Pelodiscus sinensis: one gene and its partner. The protein of the gene in region 2 interacts with the protein of the main gene of each other region in a pairwise test. Links are inferred from orthologs where the notes say so. Each region holds a gene or a part of one and is shown on either strand. Other genes may lie near its edges.

What was found. The genes of interacting proteins can lie anywhere in the genome.
Region 1: the proteins of DAPP1 (region 2) and FXN interact in binary tests that used the Homo sapiens proteins (3 or more experiments, as listed by UniProt). The link is inferred for Pelodiscus sinensis from reciprocal best matches to the Homo sapiens genes DAPP1 and FXN.

What each region holds. Positions count from the first base shown.
Region 1 is NC_134716.1:32,175,271-32,183,107, reverse strand, and holds the start of FXN (frataxin, mitochondrial), read right to left. Parts: upstream 3,004-7,837; 5' UTR 2,925-3,003; coding exon 2,823-2,924; intron 2,716-2,822; exon of another isoform or gene 2,438-2,715; coding exon of another isoform or gene 2,429-2,437; intron 1,519-2,428; coding exon 1,421-1,518; intron 1-1,420.
Region 2 is NC_134715.1:23,289,753-23,297,199, forward strand, and holds the start of DAPP1 (dual adapter for phosphotyrosine and 3-phosphotyrosine and 3-phosphoinositide), read left to right. Parts: upstream 1-4,440; 5' UTR 4,441-4,625; coding exon 4,626-4,729; intron 4,730-7,447. UniProt on the Homo sapiens protein: May act as a B-cell-associated adapter that regulates B-cell antigen receptor (BCR)-signaling downstream of PI3K.

The sequences.
Region 1 (7,837 bases), on a different chromosome or scaffold from region 2:
TCAAAAAAAGTGAACAATTATAAAATTGTTTACGAATGGGCCTTAAAGATGCTAACTACCTTACCCATTACAAAGATAGCTTCCCCAGTTATCACCCCAACATCATCTCATAGACACTAACCTCCCGCCCTCACCCCCTTTCTGTTCTAAAATCTGATTTGTCAATTTTATGTGCGTTCATATTTTTTTATTGTATCCCTTTGATATATATGGTCATGCCAATTTTCTTCCACAATTTGATCTGAGGAAGTGGGTCTGGCCCACGAAAGCTCATCACCTAATAAACCATCTTGTTAGTCTTTAAAGTGCTGCATAGTCCTGTCTTTTGTTTCAGCAAGACCAGACTAACACAGCTACATCTCTATTACTATTATAGGAGAAAATATGTATTACTTTAGCATGAAACTCTTTTTTTGTAACAAATGCAAAACAGGAGCAATATCATCATGGGAACATGTTAACCATGAGATAGTCCCATGCGATTGGAGGTACTCTGTCATAAATTACCACATACCATAAAGCAACCTTATAAATGAGGTGGATTTTTTTTAAATCTGAAATTATAGACAGCTAATTGGACTAAATAGGTGTCTTTCTCCAGTTACTTCTATGCCCAGAATGTTACTGATGGAAGACTTCTTGATTATAAAATACAACATTGTTAAAGATTAAGCAGTTCTTGCAAGGACAGACTACATCTGCAAGGTAAATCTAAATAATTTGTATTTATAAACATATACTTATTATACAGGAAACAGCAACTGCATTTGTAAACAAAGTGAAGTGCTCATCATTCATATTCTTTTGTAAGTCCTATTCATTCCAACAAAATAATAATTTTGCACTTCTAATTAGTGTTCGTCCAGTAATCTCAAAACATGTTACAAATTAGGCAAATCTCTCAACATCTCCACTTTTCCAAAGGAGAAATAGAGGCAGCTGCAGCCCTAAAAAATGAGGTCTCCCAAAAAAAAGATCAAATTCAGTAGTACCCTTTCATCTAGTTTGCGTATCTGGGTATTGTGCATGCATACTTATAGCAATACACAATTCAGTTAAATGTCTGCAGTATCAAACAATGTGACAAGGCAAAAGTATGACAGTTACCATAAAACACTCTTCAGGAGTGTCTCACGCCAATTATCTCAGATATCTGAGGAACCATTTAGTCTACCTTACAGATGGCAAAACTAAAGAATGAATGATTTCACACAAGAAATCTGTGGCAAACCTGGAAAGAGAATTCAGAAGTGATAATTCCAAGTCCTTTCCTTACCCAAAAGGCTAACCTTTTCCCCCTAGTTCATATCAACAATCACACTATATTCATTTTCATGGCTGCCACATTTATAGATATTTTCTCTGGAATCTGTATGTACTGTCAGAATTCTGATACAATTAATTCAGAAAAAAAACTTACCTTTTATCATTCAAAGTTCCTGCATTTCTTAAATGAATAAAGTGAACACTATTGTTTTTAATCTTTAGAACGCGGTCTAACTGTTGAAGATGAGAATCCTAAAAAAAGAAGTTACATTAAACATTAACAAAAGCAATGGTACAAAATGTCAGTGTGTGTAATATTTAAGAAACAGAATCCCAAAAGCTGCTCTTTTTCAAGTTAAAGGTTCATTTGTTATCTTACAGAACCAACAAGGAAGCAAAAACTCTCTCAGAAGTCCCAACCCATACATCTGTGGCTGTGTCTAGACTGGCCAGTTTTTCTGGAAAATCAGCCACTTTTCCGGAAAAACTTGCCAGCTGTCTACACTGGCTGCTTGAATTTCCGCAAAAGCGCTGACTTCCTATTGTAAGAAATCAGTGCTTCTTGCGGAAAAGCTTTGACACTCCCATTCGGGCAAAAGTCCTTTTTGCGAAAAACTGTTGTGCAAAAGGGCCAGTGTAGACAGCTCAGATTTGTTTTCCGCAAAAAATCCCTGATCGCAAAAATGGCGATCGGGGCTTTTTTGCAGAAAAGCGCGTGTAGATTGGCATGGACGCTTTTCCGCAATAAGTGCTTTTGCGGAAAAGCGTTCGTGCCAATCTAGACACTCTGTTCCGAAAATGCTTTTAACGGAACACTTTTCCGTTAAAAGCATTTCCGGAAAATCATGCCAGTCTACACCCAGCCCTGTCTGTATTCTTGAAGCAGAAATACATGTTTAGGATACTCTTGCCTTTTACTATCATCTAGTAAAGGGGGAAAATCATCTTGTGTTTAAAGCACTAGAAAAGAAAACAGAAGATGGGCCTTCTGTTCCTTGGTTTGCCTCAGGCTTCCTACGCAACCTTGAACAAGTCACTTTAGCCAACACTTTCAAAAGCGGCCACTAACGGGGTGCGCCTGAGTTCCTGCCCCTGCGGTCTAGTGATGGCCAGGGCTGTCGCTGGCTTCCCCCGTGCACCATCTGCCACCTGCCCCCCTCACCCTCCACATTGCTCCATCCGAGGCAGCCACGTGGGGGCGGGTCCAGTGCTCCGGGGGAAGCCAGATGAAAAGCTGGGAAGCCCAATGAAAAACTGGCTTCCCCCGGCTCTCGCCTCCTCCTCCTCCTCCTCGGCGGATCTCTGCACGCGGCCAGCTCCGACCTGACTCCGCACCGCGCCCGCCGCTGACAGAGCAGTGTTACGGCCACCTAGTCGGACCGCCCCCCCGCAGCGCTTTGCATTCCCGGGGGCAGGAGCCCTCCGCTCCCGGTCGCAGCGCGGCAGGGGCAGCTCACGCGGCTGACGCTGCTCATGGAGAGACTCGCCCTGCAGACCCACGCGAGGGCCCCCCCCTTGCTCCCCTCCCCCCGCCGCGGCGGCGTCTCGCTACTCACGGGCTGGCGGCAGGAGGCGGCGGGTCCCGCGAGCGCCCCTCGCCACCCCGCGGCCGCGCGCAGCCCCCGGGCCGCAGCGCGCGCCGGCCCCGGCCTCCACATGCCGCCGCCGCCGCCGCGCGAGGAGTCGGCCAGACCCGCGCGCTGCAACCCGAAGTCCCGGGAACGGGCCCGGGCGCCGCCTCTACCGCCCTCCAGCGGCGTGGGGGGCTGCCGCCCGCCCCTTCGACGGGCACCGAATGGGCTGGTCGAGTGTTTCGCAACTTTTTTTGTTTTTTAAATAGCAAGTGCCCCTTTAACACACTAATTATTAGAAGCCCCAGTACCTGCAGTTTTCAGACACACTTTCTCCCCCCCCCCCCTTCTTGCACCGCATTTGTTTAAACAACTTAACCGGAGCCAGGCGGGCGATGAAATATTGGGGTGTAAAAAATACAAAAAAATAAAAATAAAGTGCTGTAAAACACCACAAAAATTCAGTTTTCTCCAAATTTCAGTTGTGCTGCTGTTACCACCCCCCCCCCCCCCCCCCATCTCTAGAGTAGCCCGAGGGTATTCGTACCACTGGTTGAGAAACACTGTGCTAGTCAATGACCTGGCACCATTCCGAGCACCCTGCTGCCCGCTCCTCTCAGTGCCAGAGGCCAGCAGGGGCTGCAGGTCTCCGCTCTTCCCTTCTTGCCCATCGTCACTTCCCTGTCCCAGTCAGGCAGCTCTCACTCTCTGGGTCACCCCTTCTCTGTACTAGAACTGGCTCTGGCAGTGCCAGCAGCACCCTCACCTCCAGCTCGCTGTAGAGCCAGGCCAGTCTCCTTGAGGTAAGAAAAGCCTGTTTGTGGGGAGACAGAGCAGCGTGCAACTCACATCTGGTTGTGCCACCCAGTGCACCCTAACAGGGAGCCAAACAAGGGACAACAGGCAAAGTTCCCATCCAAACCCAGAGTGCAGGTGAATTTTCAATCTCTTTCTGAAATAAAGTATAGGTATGTTTTTAAAGGATGAAATAATGAAAGGGACAGCCCAGAAAAGTGTTAATGCTACAGAAAAGACATATTATTACAACTGATCGAAATAAAAGCACAAGAAGGAGCAACTGCTGGAGCACCTGTTTGTATTCTCAGGGCTATTCCCTTGCCCAACTTCCAGAGTTCAAAAAACTATTGGATACCTCACATTAGGAGGTACAAAAGTCTCCAAAAGTTTCCATCACTTCTGTCCCCAACAGCCTTAACCCCCACTTCCAGATTTCATGGACATGGCAAAGGGAGTGCCCTGGCGTGGACCATGCCATGTCCCTGAAGGACACCAGAATTTGTGTGGGATTTTCAGAACTATAAAGTGACTTACAAGCATAACTCCCATTGACTTTCAAAACCCTTGTCCTATGTAAATATTTCTAGTACAACAGCCTTAAAAACAAATGTTTCTATCCACTTGAAGAAAACTCTGGTTGGCCCAACAGTGTTGAAGTCTCCTCTGTGGAGCAAAAACCCAACAGCTACAGCCACATCAGACTTCAGCATGAACACTGCTGCTCACCAGAAATCTGTTTCCCCATCCCCGTAGCAGCTTTTACCCTAATGATCCAGTAGATGGAGAGCTTGCACTTTCCATACAGACAGCAGCAGGGTATATATACTAGAATACATACCCTACTACCGGATTTTAGTTGGATAGAGAGGAAAAAAGGTGCATAGTTCATTACATAGTTTAAATTGTAGGGCCCCTCTACACAGGAAAATGACCCAGCATATCTACTAAAGCTCCCAATGTAGACTTTATTTCAAAATAAAAGTGACTTTATTCCAGCATAATTACTGCTCTCAAAAAGTAGAATAATTATTCCAGGACAAGTGACTCATTCTGGCATAATATCCATAAAGGGAGCTATTTTGCAGTAGATATACTGGGCAATTTTCCTGCATAGAGAGGAGCTTCTATTGATCCAATAAAGGGAAGACAAGATGTCCCATCTACTAAAATAGAAATCTATTTTATAGGGTTTCTGGAGAGGGTTGAGGATATGCTTCCCAGAACAATGAGGGAGTAATAAATGAGTTTTTGTAGGTGGCTGGCTGAGTTCCTGGTGAATTGATTATTTAAATAGTGCTAAGGTTTTATTCTGTTGTTAACGTGTGACAGTGCCTGAAGTTTCATACAGGCAAAGGGCTTTTCTACACCATCCCTGAAATCCCTCAATCCCCTCCAAGAGTCGAAGCACTGTTGCCAAAGTTATGTTCCATGCTGCTCCTCCTAAAATCAAACACCTTATCTAATTTCAATTCCCAGAGGTCGTCTCTGGTATATTTTATTATGAGACACTCAAATAAAATAGACTAAGTCTACTGGGGAGAGCATGGAAGGTTTCTGTTGGAAAAGTATAATGGAAATAAGTATCCTCTCTACAAAAAGAGCTCTCCTGCCCAAACAGAGAAATATGTAAGTTCCATTCCTTCCAAACAGTGACATTTAAAATGAAGGTTGTAGGCATTAAGTTATTATTTTGATTTATAGTACCTTTAGATTTTAGGAGCTTGTGGTCTAGATAAGGCAGCTGCAATTTTATGAAGCAGAATAATTCTGCATGTGACAGAGAAGACACACACAGTGGTCATAGAGATTTTACCTATGTTCTTTTGTTTTCTTTAACCCGATAAAACATTTTTCTCTGAAAAATGGGTTTTACTCATTAGGTCTAGAGAAACATAAGCTCCATTTCAAACACACAGTAAACTTTCAATTGAGATCTTAAAAAGCAATGTTTGCTTAGTCCATTGTTCATAACCATAACAATTCACCTCACCCTGTTAGCAGTCAGAGTTCTGTGCATTCACCCTCTCATCCTAGAGATGCTTGCATTTCTGTGCTACTGTGTTTGTGTCTATTACCTTTTGATTCCCAAGTCTAAATATGACACTAATTTTGATTCAAGATGGCCCAAACTTCCTTTTTTATATTCTTGTTGCTCCTGCTAAAGATAACAAGGGGCACAATATGAAGCATTAGTGATCTCTAGGTAGTTTTCATTGTGTTTCATTACACCCTTATGCATGGGTTCCATTGTTTGAGAACAAATAACTGTTCTTAACTAATTTTGGGGTGCCAAGTTCAAAAATTATATCAATTTTTTCCCATGATGTACAGATTTTCTGAAAACTGGAGTCTACTTTTTAAAAAAATGCTATTATGTGTTATACATTATATTCTGTGACTTATTTTCAAGAACTTAAAACTATATGCAGTGACATTTTCAAGAACTTGCATGCAAAAATACTTCAAATTGATTGAATTCATCAAAATGCTTAAATTAATTTACACCGATGCTGATAATGTTGGAGGCGATACTGAGTATCTACCAGAACATGCCAGTAATGAGCCACAACTTTTCACTCAAAGTGAATTGAATGACTTGGTGAGAGACCTGGATCTGCCTAAAGATTCTGCTGAGGTTTTGGGATCCAGACTTCAAGTGAAGAATTTGCTTTTTCCTGGGACAAGTTTTGCTTGGTATAGGAACCACGAGAAAGGTTTTGTTCCATATTTTTCTATGGCTGGTCTGTAGGTTTACTGCAATAACATTGCCAGACTAATAGAAAGCTTGGGGACAGTTTACCAACCAGGTGACTGGAGACTGTTTATTGACTCTTCAAAGACAAGTCTAAAAGGTGTTCCACTTCATAATGGCAATCGATATGCCTCTGTGCCCATTGCCCATTCTGTTCACTTAAGAGAAACCTATGAAAATCTTCTCCTTGAAATGGAGCATGAATGGACCATATGTGGAGATCTGAAGGTGCTGTGTATGCTGCTTGGTCAGCAGGCTGGTTATACAAAAACGCCATCCTTTTTATGCGACTGGGATAGCAGAGCAAGAGATCTTCATTGGGCAAGGAATCAGTGGCCACCAAGGGAGAGTCTGACTCCCGGCTCCAAGAATATAATTCATGAAAAACTGATTGAGCCCAACAATGGACTGCTACCTCCACTCCACATCAAGCTAGGTTTGATTAAACAATGTGTGAAAGCATTAAGCAAGAATGATGACTGTTTCAACTACATTTGCAACAAGTTCACAGCTTTGAGTTACCAAAAAGTTAAGGAACTTTGTGGGTCCTTAAATCAGGAAACTGACTCTTGACACTAACTTTGAAGAAACCATGAATGACACAGAGAGAGATGGTTGGGTGGCCTTCAGAAATGTCATACAACACTTCTTAGGGAATAACAAAGATCCTGATCATAAAAACATTGTTGGCAGCATGCTAAACAAATTTGAAAGATTTGGATGCAACATGAGTTTGAACGTTAATTTTTTGCGCTCCCATCTGGATTATTTTCCTGAAAATCTTGGAAGTGTCATTGAAGAGCAGGGGGAAAGATTTTCATCAAGAGATCAAGACGATGGAAAAGAGATATAAAGGATGCTGGGGTGTCAACATGATGGCTGATTACTGCTGGTCCTTGAAAAGAGAGACTGATGGTGAAATGCGTAAAAAGTTGTCAAAAAAGTGTCAATTCAGTCACATCTAATCATTTAAAATTACTCAGTTGTTAAATTTTACACTTTGCTCCTTTGTTCTTTAAACAAGGACTTACAACAGACCTTCTAAAACAGTGTTTCTTAAACAGTGATCCGTGGCACACTGGTGCGCCGCGAGGCAGTCAGAGTTGTGCAGTGGAGGGCAACAGAGTTCAAAATGGCCACCCTTAATGGGACAGGCAACTCCCCCCACCAATAACTTTCCCCCCAACATTTTTTTTTTCCCCTCAACAAAAAGTCCTTGGTGTTCCTCAAAAAAGATTGTTTGGTGTTCCTCCATTTTTTAAAGTTTAAGGAACACTCTTCTAAAAAACTATAACTTACTATTTACCAAGTTAACGCATAAGGTGTAATAAAAAGCATGAAAAATGTCCAATTTTTCTTTTTGATTTGTGACAAATCCTTACGTGATAGAGCAAAATAGATGCCATTGTTAAAATCAGCATACCAAATTATGTAGTCACCAATTTTTATC
Region 2 (7,447 bases):
GCCAGTGTTATGCAAGAGGTCAGACTAGTGATCTCTTTTGGCCTCCACCCTATGAATCTTTAATTATCAGGGGCACGAGGCAGTCCTTGCTAAACTTTCATGTTTGATCAATTCAGCAGGAACATTGCCTTATACACATATAAAAAGATACACCAAATGCACCCGCTATTTTGAAAAAATTATAAGACCATCCACCAAAACTAACAGTATTGGAAAAATGAATAAACACCAGCAAAGGGAAAATGTCAAAGAGTTTGGAGCTTGATTAAATGTCTGGAAGTTGATGCTTTTCTGAAGCTATGAAAACCCCATTCCTTGAGGTGGATAACTCCCCTCAGCCTCTTCCTCTCACTTTATGATATTATCTTCTTGAGATGAAGGAGGCCTGATAGTCTACTGCATCCATTGGGCCATTGACATCTTTGGGGACAGTCATCAGACCTCTCCCTTCTGCGGGGACTTCAGGGGATAAATCCCATGACAGATCTGCTAATAGGCAGGTGTGGAACCACGTGTGGAGAAGAGAATTGAAGAGAGCCTTGAGAAGATACACCATTGAAAGGCTTAAATGAAGAAGTGAAGAAGGCAGCAGTAGCAGGAAAAAAGACTGCCTTCTTCATGAATCACTGGGGATACATATTATCCAAGTGAGTGGTAATAATGAGCAGGAAGGAGTTTCTCTGTCTTGGATCTCTTCCACCTTTCCCACTCTCCCTCCCCCAATCCAGCTGACAGGCCTTATTTACATAGGAAATTTGTAATTCACCACTGGAACAGCTCCATGGCTGTAGCAACAGTGGAAGATGTAACATAGAGAGGACTCATCATATATCTATACTCTGAATGGCATGATCACTGGCATGACCCCCTGGGGAGCCACACTGGTGGTGAATTACATCTTCTAATTACCCATATTACCTAATAAGCAGCCAGAGTAGGTCAGGAGCAGGTTTTCAAGCAGTACCATTGTCAAGTACTGTCTGTATGCACCCTGCACAAGTCACTTGTCACTCATGGAATGATTGTGTTTCTTAGACCTAGTCATGGAGGGAGCTCATTTTGCAGCATGGTCCCACTTTCAGGGCAACTTTCAATTAGCACACACATTATTCTATGAGCATGGATTCAAAACACTTATATACATGGTAAAAAAATAGGTTGCAATCTTATTGTTGGATTTGGACAAATGCTATCATTGGCATGTTAATAAAAAAGGCATATTTACAGAGAAATTTAACTGTAGGTAATCAAGCCTGAGACTTTGTCTACACTACACAGCTTTTAGTGACTTGGCCATGTCGACACTGCCATGTTGCTAAAAGTCTGTCAGTGAGAACACTGGTAGTCAGCACTTTTGCCAACAAAATATTTCCACCCCCTATAAGTGGGGTTCATGTTGTTGACAGGAGAGCACTCCTGACAACAATTAGCCACTTGCCATGGCAAAACTTTTATCCTGGTAGGAAGGCTTTTTAAAGCACCTGCAATGACAAAAGTGCATGAACTAGCAGCAATGTGATAGAATTTCTAGGGGGGGTGTGTACATAAGAACATAAGAACGGCCGTACTGGGTCAGACCAAAGGTCCATCTAGCCCAGTATCCTGTCTGCCGACAGTGGCCAGCACCAGGTGTCCCAGAGAGGGTGGACCGAAGACAATGATCAGGAGATTTGTCTCCTGCCATCCCTCTCCAGCCTCTGACAAACAGAGGCCAAGGACACCATTTTATTCCCTGGCTAATAGCCTTTTATGGACCTAACCTCCATGAAATTATCTAGCTTCTCTTTAAAATCTATTATAGTCCTAGCCTTCACAGCCTCCTCTGGCAAGGAGTTCCACAGGTTGACTACACGCTGTGTGAAGAAGAACTTTCTTTTATTAGTTTTAAGCCTGCTACCCATTAATTTCATTTGGTGTCCTCTAGTTCTTCTATTTAGGGAACTAATAAATAACTTTTCTTTATTTGACCTCTCCACAGCACTCATGATTTTATATACCTCTATTATATCTCCCCTCAGTCTCCTCTTTTCTAAACTGAAAAGTCCCAGTCGCTTTAACCTCTCCTCAGATGGGACCCGTTCCAAACCCCTAATCATTTTAGTTGCTCTTTTCTGAACCCTTTCCAAGGCCAAAATATCTTTTTTGAGGTGAGGAGACCACATCTGTACACAGTATTCAAGATGTGGGCGTACCATAGTTTTATACAGGGGCAGTAAGATATTCTGGGTCTTATTCTCTATCCCTTTCTTAATAATTCCTAGCATCCTATTTGCCCTTTTGACCGCCGCTGCACACTGTATGGAAGTTTTCAGAGAACTCTCCACTATGTATAGTGTTTTTAAAAGCACTTAAGAGCAACTGTAATTTACACAACAAAGTAAAACACAGCTGCAATGGATAAGGAAAAGTGTTTCATTTTGTTATCAACATTTACATTAGCATGTTGAATGAAAGATTGTTGCGTGTAAACCAAGATTTTAAATGAGTTTTTATGACATCTGCAAACAATTATGCAATGTTTACAGATTATATGACACACTTACTAGTCAGATAAGCACTGAGAAGCATGAGTTTGCATACGCAATAGACAAAAAGATTTCACGAAGGGCTGCACAGGTACAATGAGCCTAAATCCGTTCAGATGCGTTTTTTACTTTTTTTTTTCTAGTTGGAAAACCACATTCACCACAAAATTATAATTAAGTCTTGCAAAAATTTGGGACAGGATATTAAACATCATGCTTTTGGATTAAGATAGTTTCCTGTTACAGACTAAGAAGACACTGTGGCTACGTCTACACTGGCCCCTTCTTCGGAAGGGGCATGCTAATTTTGAACTTGGGAATAGGGAAATCCGCGGGGGATTTAAATATCCCCCGCAGGATTTAAATAAACATGGCCACCGCTTTTTTTCCGGCTTGGGGAAAAGCCGGAAAAAAGCGTCTAGACTGGCGCGATCCTCCGGAATAAAGCCCTTTTCCAGAGGATCTCTTATTCCTACTTCGAAGTAGGAATAAGAGATCCTCCAGAAAAGGGCTTTATTCCGGAGGATCGCGCCAGTCTAGACGCTTTTTTCCGGCTTTTCCCCAAGCTGGAAAAAAAGCGGCGGCCATGTTTATTTAAATCCCTAATATAAGGGATGGGGGTGGTGAAACTATTCAACATCTGCCTATTACAGCATTCTTGCTTCTTTCTCTGAAACATCGGCACTGAGGCGCTGTCAGAGATGGACTAGATGGCCCTCAGGCCTGACACAGTCTGGCAATTCCATTGTCTTAAAAGACAGTTGATAGAAAGGTGCTGGGCTTTTGCCCATCCAAACCACAAACTAAACTTACCAATTCCATGAAGAAAACACAATCCACTGGAGTCAGGTGAAGGTCAATACTCCCTTTCTATCCAAACAATGATTGTAACAGAAAGCTGCATGCGGTGCTAGAGAAACTGCATCAATAAGCATTTGTATCTGTCATGTAAACTCTGAGCCTAGGATCAGTCCATATCTTGGGGTACATCTTCACAGCAGGGCAAAACTCGAATTAAGCTACACAACATCAGCTATGTCAATTGTGTAGCTGAAGTCAAAATAGCTTAATGCAGCTTTTGGCACTGTCTCCACAGCAGGAAGTTAAAGGAAGAACAATTTTCCTTCCACTTCTCTTACTTCTCCTGAAATGAGGGCTACCATGAGTTGAAGTAAGAAGTCCTCCAACTCCACATTATTTTGAAATAAAGGCTTGTAGTGTAGATGCATACTATGGGTACGACTATACTGCTGCTTTTTTTTCTAAAAAAGCTACGCAAAATGCATATTGCATTTTGCGTAGCTTTTTTCGATTCTTTCGTCGGAAGAGGCTTTGCTGACATTTGGCCCGTCTAGACTAGGCCAAATGTTAGAAAAAACCCTCTTTCAAAAGCCCCCTTATTCCTTGTGCAATGAAGAATACAGGGGCTTCTGAAAGAGCGCGTTTGCTCTCCCCCCAAAAACACAGAAGAGCAAACGGGTTCCCTGAACGCAGAACAGTTTTTCCAGGATACCTTTGCTATCTTGGAAAAACTGTGTAGTGTAGCCGTATCCTGTTATTTTGGGATACGCTCAGTTATTCCAAAATAATGCTGCTGTGTAGACTGCCCTTGCTGAGCTTCTGGAGAGAGGCTGGAAGGAAAGCCAGACTAGGTCTCCAGCCATAAAATTATGGACCATTGCCAGGAAACTCTCCCCCATGCCCCTGTGAGGTGGGGAGTCCCAAGAAAGGCTGTTGGGCTGTGTGTGCGCGCCTAGGCTTGCCCCTACACACAACCCCTTCCTCCATCTCCTCAGCCTGAGCCGGGGCCCCAGCCTGGCTTCCATCCAGCGCAGCGCGCGCGCTGGTCAGGAGGTGATGCGCTGCGCTAACCGGGGGCCAGCGCTCCCTTGTGTCTGCGCCTGGGGCAGGCGGGCTGGGCGCAGGGAGGGACTCGCTCTCACTTCCTCTTCGGCCTCGCTCTCCAGACAGCAGGTTGCTGCGCTGGGCGAGCGTCCGCGCGGCTGCCGAGCGAGGGACGGGGCGGGGCGGGGAGCCCCGCCTGCCACCCAGTCCGGAGCGCGGTCCCCAGGCGTGGGGCGCAAGCCGCAGGTAGGGCGGATGGGAAGAACAGAGCCGGGAGGAGGCAAGAAGATGAGCCGACCCAAGGGGCTTCCCAGCGAGGGGCAAGACGAGGAAGTGCTCGAGGAGCTGCAGAGCCTCGGGTAAGGGGCAGCGCGACCCCCCGGGCTTCGGGCAGCCAGCCCATTGCTGGCCCAGCTGTTACCCAGCTGCCGCTCCCTCCCGCTGGCCCGTAGCCTCCTTTCCCGCGCGGCTGGGAAGGCAGGAATGGCTCTGCATTGTGGGGATGGCGAGCAGGCATAGGAATCCCGGGCTGGGTCAGCCATGAGAGCTGCCCCAGATGGGCGGGGGGGAGGAGAAGGGAAGGGTCGCCGTGATGGTTGTCTCCTCTGACCCCCCCAGCTATGAGGAAGTTGTTGGCACCATCAGCTCGGTGTGTTTGCCTGCATGGGGCTCTCACTGCAGCTGGATGTACTTGTGTGGGACCAGCCCACAGGGGTCAGTGTGAGGGGCTGCTTCAGAATCACTGTTGGGAGAAAAAGAAGGAGGGTCTGTTAAACCACTCAAAATGTAAACAAAAAAGTGGAAAAATCTGCAGGCAACTGCATAGATAGAGGGGCATTCCGCAGCTGTCACGCCTGCAGCAGGTACTGAGTAGGGTTTGGGAGTTAGCATATTTTGCCTGGACATTTTAAACAGAATTGATCATTATTTTTCATCCATGTATGCAAAATAAAGGGACTTTCCCAAGGTGAGGAGAGAAAAAGAAAACCATTACAGGATTTCATGGGTTGCCAGAGCATTTGGAACTGTTTCCTAATTATGTCCAGTTCAGATATGGTCTAATGTATATGACTTACTGAGTTAGATTCTGTAATAGATAGACAGTTAGGTCTATCTATCTATCTATCTATCTATCTGACTGCATTAAATTAATTGTTGCACTCTGAATAACATTTGGTAATTATACATTTCTGTTGGAATCAATTGCCACAGTTGGCAATTTCAAAAGTGATGATAGTTTTATATTTCTTCCCCACTCACCTCCATAGTACTAATAACTTCACAGTACCAGGCCATCCCTTTGGTGACCTGATTGCATAGTTTTACTGTGATGACATCTCACCCAATATGGTATATGAGTGTGACTTTACAATGTTACAATCTCTGTATATTTGTTTCCTGGGAAATTTTGTGATGACAAAATACTGTCTTTTGCAGATCTTATCATGCAATGTCTAGCAGTTAGATGGTGTTGCAGAAAGAGAGCGTCATCACTGCTTTTGAGATTGTTCAGACGCTTCAGGGGGTAGCTGAATTAGTCTGTACAGGATAAAATTAAAAAACAACAAATGGTCTGGTAGCACTTTATAGACTAACAAAACATGTAGATGATATCATGAGCTTTCATGGGCACAGCCCACTTCTTCAGATGACCAGAGTTTTGAGTTTAGGATGTGCAAATCTAAAATAAAGAGGGGAGAAGGTGGGGAAGGAAAAAAAGGAGGGGGGCGGGAAACAAGGAGTAGAGGGTATGGAAATATCAAAGGGAAAAACAGGAAGGCAGAACTGAGAATCAGTGAGCACCTGAAGATTGGTTAGTTAAAAGGAACCAGATAAGAATCAAAGTCAATATATAGTACCCTTCCTAACACAGGAATCTACATAAAGGGCTGTTTGCACCTTCATTGAATGTTAGGTTGATAGTGTCCCAATCATCCCACATCATGATTGAGGCCTTTAGCATGAGAATTGAACTTGCAGATGAATTGTAATTCCAACTCCTCACTGTGTATTTGGCTAGTAGAATTGGTTTGTAATAAGACAGCCACTTGAAGATCTTTTAAACAGTGATCAGGAAGATTAAAGTGTTCCCTTTATGTGTCCATTGATTCTTTCCCATAGGGACTGTCCAGTTTGTCCAATATATATTGATGGCATAAATCAAATTACTGGATGTGTAGTCAAATGACCTTTTGATTTGGTCACTTATATTGTTGGCTCCAGTGATGAATTCGTTTGTATAGATATGTGGGCAGAGTTGGCACCGTGGTTGGTTGCAGGGCTGAGTTCCTGGATACTTATGATGTGGTTGTGTGTCATGGTTACCGGAAAGAATTTGTTTCAGGTTGGGGGATTGTCTGTAAGCGAGAATAGACTTTTCTCCCAAGGCCACTGAGAGTGAGGGATCATTTTCCAAGACGATTGTGTATAATGCACTGGAGGGGTCTGAGTTGTGGATTATAGGTAACAACAAGTGGAATTCTGTTATTTTCTCTTTTGGGTCTGTCTTGAAGTAGGTACTTTCTGGGTACTTTTTTGGCTTTGCCAATCTGTTTTATTAACTTCTCCAGGCGGTATTTCAGGTTTGGGAATGCTCTATATAGATCCTGTAGGTGTTTGTCTCTGTTTGTGGAATTGGAGCAAATCCGGTTGTATCTTAGGGTGTGGATGTATACAATAGATCGAGAAAGCTGTCTGGGATGGAAGCTGGAGGCATGAAGGTAAGTGTAGCGGTCGGTGGGTTTCCGGAATAGGGTGGTGGAAATTTGTCCATTATTTAACTGTACTGTAGTGTCCAGGAAGTGGATTTCATGTGTGGACTGGTCCAGGCTGAGGTTGATGGTGGGGTGGAAGTTGTTGAAATCCTTGTGAAATTCAAGAGTCTCTTTTCTGTGGGTCCATATGATGAAGATGTCGTCGATGTAGCGTAAGTAAAGTATGGGTGTTAGGGGGTGAGAGTAGAGGAAACGTTGTTCAAGGTCATCCATAAAGATGTTGTCATATTGTGGTGCCATGTGAGTGCCCATGGCTGTGCCGCTGACTTGGAGATACAGATTGTCTCTGAATTGGAAGTAGTT